Linked DNA regions of Caenorhabditis elegans. The protein of the gene in region 1 purifies or fractionates together with the protein of each later gene. This does not show direct contact. Each region holds a gene or a part of one and is shown on either strand. Other genes may lie near its edges.

What was found.
Region 2: the proteins of bath-15 (region 1) and Y106G6E.4 fractionate together in Caenorhabditis elegans (co-fractionation; one large-scale study listed by BioGRID). This does not show direct contact.
Region 3: the proteins of bath-15 (region 1) and F59A6.12 fractionate together in Caenorhabditis elegans (co-fractionation; one large-scale study listed by BioGRID). This does not show direct contact.

The regions. Positions count from the first base shown.
Region 1 is NC_003281.10:7,773,304-7,778,045, reverse strand, and holds bath-15 (BTB domain-containing protein), read left to right. Parts: upstream 1-2,012; 5' UTR 2,013-2,031; coding exon 2,032-2,144; intron 2,145-2,186; coding exon 2,187-2,568; intron 2,569-2,619; coding exon 2,620-2,767; intron 2,768-2,812; coding exon 2,813-2,964; intron 2,965-3,019; coding exon 3,020-3,166; 3' UTR 3,167-3,369; downstream 3,370-4,742. Other genes in the region: Homeobox protein mab-5, read left to right, coding at 655-777; ZK686.1 (uncharacterized protein), read right to left, coding at 4,383-4,420, 4,465-4,561. UniProt on the Caenorhabditis elegans protein: Probable substrate-specific adapter of an E3 ubiquitin-protein ligase complex which mediates the ubiquitination and subsequent proteasomal degradation of target proteins.
Region 2 is NC_003279.8:10,220,771-10,225,392, forward strand, and holds Y106G6E.4 (putative 5-formyltetrahydrofolate cyclo-ligase), read right to left. Parts: upstream 2,009-4,622; coding exon 1,769-2,008; intron 1,449-1,768; coding exon 1,316-1,448; intron 1,268-1,315; coding exon 1,020-1,267; 3' UTR 872-1,019; downstream 1-871. Other genes in the region: ced-12 (Cell death abnormality protein 12), read right to left, coding at 2,203-2,344, 2,424-2,661, 2,713-2,939, 2,985-3,335, 3,382-3,915, 4,572-4,622. UniProt on the Caenorhabditis elegans protein: Contributes to tetrahydrofolate metabolism. Helps regulate carbon flow through the folate-dependent one-carbon metabolic network that supplies carbon for the biosynthesis of purines, thymidine and amino acids.
Region 3 is NC_003280.10:5,010,652-5,014,631, reverse strand, and holds F59A6.12 (C6 domain-containing protein), read left to right. Parts: upstream 1-2,553; 5' UTR 2,554-2,575; coding exon 2,576-2,633; intron 2,634-2,682; coding exon 2,683-2,858; intron 2,859-2,900; coding exon 2,901-3,044; 3' UTR 3,045-3,109; downstream 3,110-3,980. Other genes in the region: F59A6.3 (Sushi domain-containing protein), read right to left, coding at 3,453-3,490, 3,541-3,838, 3,890-3,980.

The sequences.
Region 1 (4,742 bases):
TGGCAATAAACAAAATAACAACAGTTGTACCAAAATTTCTTGGTCAGACTTCTGAACACATTTTAGAACAATTATAGTATTTTTTTATTTTTCATACACTCAAAATATTGACAAAAAGTTTGTTCACTTCTAGTCTTTTCCAAAAGAAAATTCCAAAATTTTTTTGAGGTGGCTCGAATTTTTTCAAGCCTAAATTATCATAAGAACGTGTAATAACTACCGACAGATTTAATGCATAATGAATGATGATTTATTTTAAACAAGAATAGGGAATTATTCTTCAATTTTTTAAAATAATTTTTCTATTAAAAAGTTTTAATGGTTTTTTCGAAAATTCTTATTGCAAACACAATTTTAAAACCAAAAATTGTAGTTTCTTACTGATAATCTAGATAACAAAAAAGCAAAGTAGAATAATCACGTGGAGTCAAAAAGTCCCATTTTGCTTTGATCTTCGAAAAAATGCGGGAGAAGTGACGCAGACATCTGATCTGATTTCGCATGGTTAAGACTGTGCTGACGTCACAATTTTTCTGGGAAAATATTCCCGCATTTTTCGTAGATCAAACCGCAATGAGACAGCCTGACACCACGTGAATAATCTGTTTTGTTTTAATAAATAAGTATTTAATAGATACAATTAACTTTTTGCAGGTAAAAATCTGGTTCCAAAATCGTCGTATGAAACACAAAAAAGAGGCAAAAGGAGAAGGTGGAAGCAATGAATCAGATGAAGAATCAAATCAAGATGAGCAAAATGAACAACATTCTTCTTGATTTTCACTTTTTTTGGTCAGAATCTAATTTGAATTTCTTTTTACCTCGTTTCCGGTCGCTTTTCATTGTTTTGCTCCCATTTTTGTCATTTTCCTTTGATTTTTTGCATTCTTCATCGGTGATATATTGCTTTTAAACGACCTGAAAGGATTCCACGCCCTTTCGACGGGTCTTTGTTTTTATTGATTATTTCTCAATTTCTTCCTTTGCTTCTTTGGGATTTGATGATCTCAACCTTTGTCTCGAAAATTGTTTTTTACACACTGCTAGCCTATTTTTTGATTTTTTTTTCTTGAAAATTTTTCTACAGTAACATATCTGTTTGCTTTGATTTTTGGAGATGAAATTGATCTGTCATTATGTTTCACAGAGGACCTCACAAATTGAAGGACATTTGTGAAACGACACATATTTCACTGTGCCAGATGCAAAAGAAGATTGTTGATATACCATGTAGTTATAAAAAAGTGAACTGAGTTACGTCACACTAAAAAATTATATCGTCGATTTCTAATGAACATAAGAATCTGTAAAACTGGGCCACAAAGTGTGAATATGTACTGGATGATTGGTAGTAAAGCTTCATTGATTGCCTCCAAATAATACCTTAGTAACACTTGAAACTTTAGAAATAATTATATAAACCTGAAAATATCTTTTCTACAGTACCTCGCAAAGAAACTGCAGGTTTGAGATGTCCAATTTCTCGGAAAGTTGATTAGCTTTTTTAATTTTTTTAAAATTTAGTCATTGATTCACTGGTACTAACTAAATATCTCTGTGAAAATAAATGTATTTTTTGTTACTCATCTTTAAAAATTCGTCAACCAGGTTTATTCTTTTGCAAGTTCAAATATTTGTATATACTTTTGCAAGTTCAAATATTTGAGCAATATTGACTCCTTTTTTTATTAAGGAGTCAATATTGCTCAAATATTTGAACATTGGCATTATTTTCCGAAGTAGAAACATAATTAAATACTTTATGCGTTTTAGAAGGATCTATCGATGGTAAATAGTATAAATGCTGCATTTCGAACAAATAGTCAGCGAACTACGGTAGATGAGAGAGTACGCAATGAACATAATGCATTCTAATTTACGCACATTAGATTTTTTGTAATCTTTTTTTTTTCGTCAAACTTTGCAAAGTTATCGTTTTTCTAGCGGACAAATGACTTTTAATTTAAAAATTATTTGATTTTTTCGACTTTTTGAGTTTTAAAAATGTTTAATTTCAGCAAACTCTTCAAAATGGTCGCCGCAAGCAAGGAATTCGTGTTTCATCACACTTTCAAGGATGTTTCACAATTGGAAGATGGCGATTTTTTTAAAAGCCCCGAAGAAATTCATTACAATGCGGAATGGTAAGTCTTATCCAAGTCATAGATTACATAAAATATCTTTAGTTTCAGGTTTATATTGGTTATTCGCACGAAAGATCAACTGGAAGCGTACCTACACTGTGACAATGAGAAAGATGACAACGTCGCCTGGACAGTCGACGCCGAATTCAGCTTAAAAATAGCTTCATCATCAGGAAGTTATGCAATGAAATTCCAAAAGGGATGTTTCGATGGATTTGGACTGGGATGGAATGATTTTGTCAGTTGGGACTCATTGACAGAAGATTTTCTATACGATAATAGTTTTACTATTGAAGCATGTGTGAAGATCACAAAAATGACAGGATTCTCGAAAGATGTGCTCAGAAGCTTCGATGAATCAGAAAAAAGATTTTCCGATGTGATCCTTGTAGTTGGAGACGAGAAGTTTTATGTTTTGAAACTAGTAGGTTTTTTTTACAATCGAATTTTCCATTCAATATTCAATATTTTTCAGTTCCTGGCGTCTCATTCTTCATATTTCAATGCACTTTTTCTTGGAAAATTCAAAGAAGCCGATCAATCAGAGGTTACACTCCAAAACATCGATCCGACCGATTTTCAGAGCCTTTTGGAGGTTCTATATGGAGAACCTGCGATTGATGGTTAGATATTGAATTGATTTTAAATTAAAATAATTAAATTTTCAGATGGTACCATCGATGGAGTTCTTCTACTTGCCCACATGCTCGATGTTACCTTGGCAATTCGAAAATGCGAGGAGTTTTTGATCGAAAAGTCGATGAAATCGATGAGAGAGCTGTTAAAAATGGCTAACCAATATCAGCTGGAGAATTTAAAAGTAAAATTTTATTTTTTGAAAATTCCTGAAAACTAAAATAAATTTTGATTTTCAGACCGTTTGTATCTCGAAAATCAACACGATCGATGAGATTGAAGCTGCAATGGCTTATAATCCGGAAGAAATGGACCCGATTGTGCTGGCGACTCTCCTCAAAAAATCCACGGCTCTTCATCGATCTGCGATTTCTGATTCAGTATAATCATTTTTTTCCTGTTTTAGCGCTAATATATTATTGTGATTTAGTCTTTGATTCGCTGGTACTAACTAAATATCTCTGTGAAAATATATGTATTTTTCTTTTACTCATCTTTAAAAATTCGTCAACCAGGTTTATTAAGGAGTCAATATTGCTCAAATATTTGAACATTGGTCTTATTTTCCGGAGTAAAAACATAATAAAAAAACTTTATGCGTTTTAGAAGATTGAAATTGACTGAGTTGGTCAATGGCACAGTCTCCTCCGATGGAAATTTGCATTAGCGCGCACTTGCATTTTTGTTATTTTCATGAATTATTTTGCACTGAAAAAAATGATGGTTTTTTGTGACTTGAATTTCTCTTCGAAACGGTGTTTTTACGTTTTCATTTTAGGTATCAAATGTTAAGCAGGAAAAAAACTGTTTGTTGCATCATTTTGGGAATTTTTAATGAAAAACTGAACGCGCTGATACAAAAATTGTCAACAATTACACTCGAAAGTTAGAAAAAAAAAATTATTTTTTATATTCTTTTCGGTTATTAACGCTCTGTGCATGTAAAAATAGTTTCTAATTGTTATTCGCATGTCTGGCTACAATATGGTCAATTTCGGATGGATATCAATGCTTAATTTATGGTTTCATTACGATTTCACGGAACAGCCTGGCCAACAGTTTTCTGAAATAGGGAAAAATGCTCAAAGAAGATGCAACTGCAGACAAATTCGATTCAATTTGCTTTCGTAATGCTCAAAAATCAAAAAATCCTTATAAACTCGTTAATTTTTATAAAATTTGTGTGAATTCTGTCGAAGAAACAACATTCAATGACTCGGATTTCAGGCTCTACTTTTTCAAACAACGCGGCCGATCTCGAAGGAGGAAAGCCGTTCGGAAAGGTTAGCCCACTTTCCAGTATTCACCAACACGACAACTTTATCAACAGATAGTCGAAACGTATTGATCGGTTCTGAATCTAAATAAATTTAAAAAATCCATTTGAAAAAGCCAAATCATTTGAGATTCTTCCTTCTGAGTACAAAGTAATTTATTAGACAAAAATAGGACATCGGTACTTCTTTATGTACATTAAAATATATTAATGATGAAAAAATATTAAAATTGTCCGTGATATTCGAAAGTGAAGGTGCAGAGATAGCGGAAATCCAAGGGCAGTGCCAAGCTTGTGTTTGTTTCCGTTGTAGTGGTGAACTCCAGCTATGACGAGCATGACGGATCCTTCCAATTCGAAAATTCTGAAACGTTAAATTATGAGCCATATTTAAAATAAATTTTTTACCTCGGTGCTTAGTGTTGATGACAAGCTTGGCATTTTCGTTGAGAAGCGACTTCAGCTTCTGCTCGTAAAGGACGTATTGTCCTGTCTTCATAACCATGGAGAGTCGGAAGTTGATGTTCTCAGCATTGGTGAACCTGAAATAATAGAGATATTTGAGAAATGATTTTTGGTTTAACTTCATAATCTCTAAACAAAATATTACAGGAACACAAATCCCCGAGAATGCGTCTTTTGCAACATATCGGAGGCGTAAAATATCTCGTAGCGATACCTACCGT
Region 2 (4,622 bases), on another chromosome or scaffold:
AAAAGTGATTCAAAGGAACTAAAAGAAATGGCATCTCCAGATAAGGAAAAGAAAAAAGAAGACTCGAAAGCAGAGCAAGAATTCGTCCTCGATGAAACCAATCCACATTTTGCTTTTCTTCTTGCTGGAGAAAACAGAGATCCTGCTCAATCAGTTCTTCACGCAAAAAATGCATTTGAACACTCGAATGGATTCATGTGGACAATGAAGAAGAGATTGGCTTTTGATGAAGGTTGCTGGAAACACTTGAGCCGTAGAATTGGAGCTATTAGAGCAGAGGTATGTAGAGTATATGATATATGATAATGTTCCACCTTTCAAGCTTTCCAGGGATTCGAAGTCAGAGTGACCACTCGTCAAGCAAGGGAGAAAAAGCAAAGGTATGTTGATCATGATAACCTTTTTGAAATAATAATATTTGCAGTGCGGATCGGGAGACCAAAATTGACCTCGTGTTCAACAAGTTTGAGAGTGAACAATGATTACTATGTATTGACTTTAAATGAATATTTTTGTTCAGTTTCGTGTAGTTGCTCTTCATGTAAATTACAGGGCTTCTATCATATATCGATTTAACTACATCAGTCCTCATCTCGGTCTATCTGAACTGTGTGATATTAGTGAAACCATTGAATGTATCTAATTTTTGCTAATTAATGTCTTCAGGCCTTTGAATCCTTTCGTTTTGTGTGAGCAAGTTTTCAGATATATTTACAGGCTTTTGGGACAATGCTATGCAGTTCTATGGGGCATTTCAGAACATCTCCACAAGTTTTCGTGGTGGGACCTAAAATTGAAACACCTCGGAAGGCTAGAATGCTTCTAACTAATGACTGAATAATCTATGAAAAAATTATATATAACTGTAGTTCAAAAAAGTTTATTCAGTTAACAAATGCAAGAAATTGTATCACAAAACCATTTGAGGAATGTCTGAAAAATCACTTATAAATTGGCGAGAGAAATTTAAAAAAAAATCTCAATATCACAATCGGGAATATTATTTAGAGTGTGAAGCCTTAAATAGTATCAAAAATAATAGTTTCTCCTTCATAGATAACCTCATCAAGTTCAACATCAGTTTCAGAAATAGGAATTGTACCAATAATTTGCTCACGAAGAGCCAATCCTATCTTTTTTGGGGAGTTTTCTGGAAAATGTTTGTGATGAGTGGAGAAGAAGCGATCGTAATATCCTTTTCCATGACCACAACGAAGTCCATATGGTGAGAAGGCAACGCCGGGTGCAAGGATCAAATCCAGTGGTCCTGTAAGTACTTATAAATTGGAGTTATATTATTAAAAAGCAGTCACACCTGTTTCATGATAGCTTTGCCATTTCCATTTCGGTTCTGGCTGTCTGATTCCCCAAAGTGTTGAAGGAAGATTGTCAAAAGCAGTTTGATCCGGAACTCGAACCATATCCATTGCAGTTGAGCCCTTCGTGAACTGAAATTTTTACATTTGTGACTTCAATAAATTATACTTGCTGTACGTGCCTGTCTCCCTGGATTCATATATAATATCTGCCTAGGTACTAATTGCCTGCCTACTACAAACGATTACAGCCTTCATGTCTAGGGGCCTACTTTACGCCTACCTCGCAAGTGCCTTAGTTCTGCCTGGCTACGTGCCTGCCTGCCTTTATTCATAGCTCATATCTGCCTACTTCTTGTCGGCCTACCTGCTTTATTTCTGCCTGCCTATGTGCCTACCTACATGCCTACATCTTAACATCTATTGCGCATCTGTTTCAAAATAAATTTTACCTGTGGAATGAAAACTTCTTTTCCCATTTCCAACGCTTTTTGAATAATCGAATCAGTTTGTATTTCTCCCGATGTACTAACATAAACTGACAATCTCTTGCTCTCTTGAAACCATTTCGATTCAATTATTTTTTCAAAAACCGCCTCTGTTTGACGTTGAGTTTCTTCTTTCGAAATTTTTCCGAGCAATGTCTTCATAAACTGCCTGAGCTCTGATTTTACCTCTTTTATAGCACTCATCTGAAAATGTTGGTCAAAAATTTGTTTTCAAGAGATTCAGAAAACTGTTAGTGGCCTGTAGTTAATGGCTCGTTATTCAAATTAAGTTAAATACACAGTAATAGGCATAAATTACAAAATTTATTATGCACATGGAAATGTTTTGCCTTTCAATATGGTAAAATGCACGTAAGAATGATAAAGCTTGAATATGATTAAAACTTTGAAATAAAGCTTTTGATATCGTCAGGGATCGGTGGAATTTCTGGTTTCTCCTCGGGGTTCGTGAGTTTCACATTGAGAAGGCGAACTCGTAGCTCCATTTTCAGCATTCGTTCAACCATTGCATCGGTTTCACTGAAAATATTTCAATTGGTATTTTCGGGGCTTCCTATTCTTCAGGTTACTGTAACTACAGTAACCAATGTCTAGATACCTTTTAACTGCCTTGCTCCCAATCAATTCAGCAAGACCTTCAAGCCATATAACAGATTGAGTTTCATCGGATGTCAATGCCATTAAAACTTCGCCTTCTTTCATATCATTTGTTGTTTTTAATTGTACACGAATCCCTCTTAACATTTGTGTAGATGGAGAAGAAGTGAATCGAGATGAGCTTGCTTTTCTATCAATCTCATCATTATTTGTTACATCAGCAATATCTTTGATCCAAACTGAAAATAAATTAATTTATTATTTGAGAACTAATTCAATATTCCCCCAACCTTGCCGAATATCATCTCTCTGCACACCTTCCACATAGTTCTCACCATCACATCCAGTTATAGTGAGCATTTTCTCCGATGCATCGAGCTTCCAATGCCAGAAGGCGAGCTTTGCGAGGGATTTACTTTTCTGTGGTTTTCGAAAAACGGCGCCTAACTTCAAATAGTTTAGATGATTTATTCGAACCAATTCCTCCATTTTTGGCCGCAATTTCGATTTTAGTTGTCTGAAAATATGTATACGAATAAGTTATTGGAATTTTCAGACTTACATCACAGCTTCACTATGTAATTGAATATTTTCCTTTCCCAATTGTTCCTCTCTCCAAATTTCTTGCATTGCCCTATACGAAAAAGTCTCCAAATCCGCAGATAGTTCTTCTACATCTTGTATTTCCCGTCTTTTCAGCACATGCCGTAACTGTTCCAGTACAACACACGCAACTTTCTCCATTTCACCTCCTTTTGCCTGCATCTCACGCCATGTTCGATGGAAAAGGTGTACAATACATGCGAATACAGCTGGAAATGGAGTCTCCGTGGAAAAGAGAACTACAATCAAACGATCCAACTCATCACGACCAGGTATTACTCTGAACAATTCTGCGGCAATGTCACAGCACCTGAATTTAAAAAATCATCAGAACATCTTTACGTTTGCAAAAAAACCTCATCCACATTGGAATCAGTTGCCATTTTCCTCCTTCAATCCTCATTGTATTCTCCGAAATTAGCATTCTCAGATCTTGCGGACTTTTTTCTGCAAATTGAACCATCGAAATTGCAGCCAACCGTCCACATCGGTGTTCCCCAATTTGTGATTTCCACATTTCTCTGATCTCCTCGGAAACATCCTCACTGGATTCAATATCAAGAATTTTCTGAACTTCAGCATCAGTAGGAGGTGAAGTTTCATATGCACTAATCAGACTCCTTTGAACCTCAACAAGTTGTTCAATAGCATTCAGATTTCGAACACCACCACCACCACGTAGAAGAGAACTGTGTACAGCATTACGGAATGGAACGACTTCTAAAGATTTAATAAGTTCAAATCGTTTTTCATCATCAGGACATCTTCTTATCATTGAATTCATTAGTGAAAGTGCACAAAGAGCAATTCGTTCATCTGATTTTTCAACGTGTCGAATGAGAGTCTCTATTGGAACTTCTTCGAGAATCCAATCACGAGTTGTATCGTCACTGTAAATTATACAATAAATAGAAAAATGGTACTTCTAATTTCTTTTGTACTTTGGAGTTGTTTTGTTGATTTTTTTGGATTAAAAAAATTGGAAAAATCTATATTTTAAGTATTTTAAGCTAAACTGATAGGTTTTTTTTTGGCAAAAATGAATTTTTGGAATTTTTGTTGATGAAGTTGATTTTTATGTTTTTGTTTTGAAAAATGTATGATTGTGACTTTTTTTCGGTATTATATTTAGCAAAAAATTTTTTTTCTTGGTTTTATTTCTATGTGAAGAGGATTAAATAGTTAGTTTTTTTTTGGCTAAAATTAATTTTTTTGCAAATTTTTTTTTCTGATGGTTTGTGATTTTTTCTTCCGTTTTTTTTGTAAAATAAAAGATTGTTCGGTAGTTTTGGTGTGAAATTGTATTTTGAAATTTTTTTCTAGAAAAATGGTTTTTTTTGGGGAAAATCCGATTTTTGGATTTTTTGTTGGAATTCTTGATATTCTTTTTAAAAAGTAGTTTTTTTTTTAGAAAATAGAAAGTTTTAGTCATTCGTGTTTTTTGAAAGATTGTAATTTTTGAAAAAATGGATTATTTTCGTTTCTTGTGAAAAAAGTTTTTGGTTTTTTTTCTGGAAAAAATAAAAATTTTTTAAATAAAACTTACCCGATAACAAGCTGTTCGAGCATCTGAAGAGCAGCTAACAACGTGTTCGCT
Region 3 (3,980 bases), on another chromosome or scaffold:
AAAAATTTAAAATTGTAAATGAAAAATAAAAGTAAAATTTGTACGAAAACCGTTTTAAGATTAAAACCCTTAAAAAAAATGCTTGCCTGCCTGCGTGCCTACCTATTTTTTTGCATTTTAGCTCGACGAGTCCCGGTGTTTGGTAATGGTTTGGTAATGGCACACTGTAGATTCAAGGTTTTCAAAAAGTTCAATTAATTTACTGAAAGTTCAGCTTGCTTATGATTTGGCAGTAGGCACGAAGGAGGCGTAAGCAGCCTTCAAGACAATCAGGCATTTTTTGCGTCTTTGAGAAAAAAGAATCAAATAGTGTTCTGCATTGAATTAAATAGCTGGAAAAAAATCAAGAAGGTCCAAAGATTATTCAATTAGATATACAAAAAATTGCGAAATAAATTGTACAACTTTCAAAGGGTATGAAAATAATTGAATCAAATATTTGTGGTTTGATTTTTGAATAAATTTGAGAATACACAACGAACTGCAATATTTGTGAGACAGAAAAACGTGTGATGAAAATGGAGTTTGTGCCGCCTCGTCTGGAACAAAACTTAATTTTGTCTGAGAATACACGCTCCAATATCTCTTGGGACCGCTTTCACGATGAATTGAGAAATGAGGAAAAAGGCGTGGGCATCAACATTTTTTACTGAAAAAAAGGAAATTGGTTAGCCAACTTAGCAGGTGGAAGATGTTGGGGAAATATATAAGACCCTGAAAATAAAATCACCTGAAATCTTCAAAAGTTAAATTGAATCAAAAATTGAGTTTTTATTTTTGGTTATTTTTTTGCTGAGAATTTCGTTGAATATCATGGTAAGGATTTGGATTTTGAAAATTCAAAATGTGTTATCAACCCAAAGATCAGTTCCTGAAAAAAGGAGATGTTTGAAAAACAAACGTTTACAAACAGGAAAAAGGTCATATTAATATCCGATTAAATTTTTGCCTTGAACTTTAAAACTACTTTGGAACTTATAACTAAACTTCCGTCAAATTGAAGATATGAAATGAGATGCTTTCTTGTCGGAATATTCAAAAAATTTGAAAAATATCTAGTGAAACATTTTTTAGAGATTTTTGATAGGGCCGAACAGAGTAAGATGGGTTTTTCATGTTTTTTCATGCATAGTTATGCTGAAGCCAAAGACCTGTGCGGCAATAGATTAAAAATATATTTTCAAAATCATTCCTAAAATTTAACTCTTTCACGGATTTTAAAAATCATTAAATTAATTTATTAACTTTCTGAACTTTATGTGACGTGGCTATTGTAAAGATCTGGGACAAAGATAAGAGAGAAATTTGCTATAAATTGAGCAGAGTTTACCATAATCTTCACTGTAAGTTTCCACACTCTACAAAGAAGTCGCCAGTGCCCAATCCGTCCCACCAGGAGATATCCAGACCCAGCCGGGTACGAAGATCGTCTTCAATGCACCATACGATGACAAGCACACCTACCACATCAAGGTGATCAACTCCTCGGCTCGCCGTATTGGATACGGTATCAAGACCACCAATATGAAGAGACTTGGAGTTGATCCACCATGTGGAGTTTTGGACCCAAAGGAAGCAGTCCTTCTTGCTGTTTCCTGTGATGCCTTCGCCTTTGGACAGTAGGACACTAACAACGACCGTATTACTGTTGAGTGGACCAACACCCCGGATGGAGCTGCAAAGCAATTCCGCCGTGAATGGTTCCAAGGAGACGGTATGGTTCGTCGCAAGAACCTTCCAATTGAGTACAACCCATAGAGCCCTCTTCGACCTTGCTCAATAAATGAATTTTGAAAGCTCGTTGTTTTTTCTCTTGTTAAAAATGTTTAGGTTTAAAAGTGCACCAAATTTGGTGGAGGTAGAGGTCCACTCCCAACCGAGTTCAACCCAAAGAAGGCTTGATAAGAAAACCCTCGAGTACAATCCATAGAGCCCTGCTTGATCTTATTTAATGAATGAATTTTGCAAGTTTCATTCTTTTGCTCTCTTCAAAATTTCAGCTTTTAAAACGTTTTCAAATGGTTTACATTTAACCCACAAGAGGCCGCTTGATATCTCTTCTCTGTTCATTGGCAAAGGCATAATACAATGACTTGAATCCTCTTTGTCTAAACTTGGTATATCCGATTGTGTGTTGGAAACGAGGTGTGGTCGGTTTGTTATGTATGACTTACGACCACTGGACGCAAAAGGTTTTATAATGCTCACCGATTTGCAGCAGCAGGTGCGGCGAGATTTCCTTCAAATTCATGATATGGAAAAATGCATTCCGATTAATTACTTGTATGATTTCGCAAAAAAATATGCTTACAGTAAAGAGCACTTGTATAAACAGAACTCCAATTTTGTTTTGAGGAAAGTTTGAATTTATGTATGTTTTAAAAATTTTCAGTATGGAAAGTTCAACTTTGTTTTTCCGTTGAATTTCTGTTCAATCTGTTCGTTTCAATAATTTTCATTTGAACACGATTAGTCATCGCTGTGCGTCAGCTTTTTTTGTTTCAAATTCCATAATAGAATGTGTTCAAATAGATGCTATAAAACCAAAATTTTGAAGAAAATTCACTGCAAAAACATGAATTATTTATTCGCTTTGGTTCTGTTACCACTTCCTGTTTCAATTTTGGGAAAAAGTAGGAAACATAAAAACATTTTTAATTTAACTATATCTATTAGTTCCAGAATGTTGCCAATTCCCGGCTTATTCATTTTCCGCTATGACAAATGTTACAAAAGAAGACTTTAAATGTTCTGAACCAGTTTCAGTGCTTTGTCAAATTGACACTAATGGGAGTGGATATGTTGCAGTTGGAATTTCTGGAAATTTAACGGAACAGGCAGATACAAAGCCTTTAGTCGTGAGAAAACTTTTTTGAATTTTAAAAATATACTTTTTCGAGATCAAAAAAGGTTCATCTTCAATCTCGGCGTCTCTTGTATGCGACACTTCTTCTCAAATGTGGAAAGTTGATAAGAAATCCGATAAATATGACAATATTGGTTGTATCATGAGATCTACTGGCGGAGTTTGGATTGTTTATTGAGTATTTGGAATAAAATATATTTTTCTTTCAAAAATAGGAAAATGAGTAATAAAATAAATACTAAACTTCACAGTACATTCATTTAAAAAAAAATATTTTTCCCAAGTTTTGACTGAAATTTATGAAGAAAAAACCATTAATTGGAACCGAAATGCATAATGATTGTGTCTGAATACCCTAAAAGATCACATTTAAACATTTTTCAGAATATTTTGAACAACAAAAGTGCACTACAAGTTACTTGCCTTTAAGTTGACCTACGCCTCTAAAATTAGGCGTTTCGGTGCCTAAGCTAAATAAATATTTTACCGATGTATTCAATATATTCACAAACTTTAATTGTCAAGTTTCTCAGAGTAACACAAATTAATTTATTTCCGGACATAGATTTAAAATTTTAACAAATCATTAAAGTCTTGTTGGCAATTTTAGTTCACTCTTTCCATCTGAAAAAGTCACACATTTGTTTTTAAACAATTTATACTTCAAAACTTACAAATACAATTCTCTGGTGATCCTGCCCATTTTCCTGTTTTCAAGCACTTATAGATCTTCACAGGTTGCAGTGCAATTTCAAAAACATAAGATTGCGGGCAAACTTGAGTGATGAGCTCTCCGACAGAATAACTGCTTTTGATTTGTGAAGAAGTTGGACTGGAAGTGTAGGTCAAGTTCAGGGATGGTTCGATGCAAGTGATAGAGGAATTTGTGTTGTTGTAAGAAACTGTGAATGTTGATGGTGATGTTGATGAATCAGAAGATCCAGAAGATGAATTGGTTGGAAGTGTTGAGCCCTGAAAATTGATTTTTCCTGGCTTTTCCAGTGATTTTTCTATATAACTTACAGATTTGCCATTGTTAACTGCTTGAGTTGTTCCATTTGCTGCAGACGTTGTATTTTGCGAGAAATTTTTCCCGGAAGATGTTGTCCCTCCT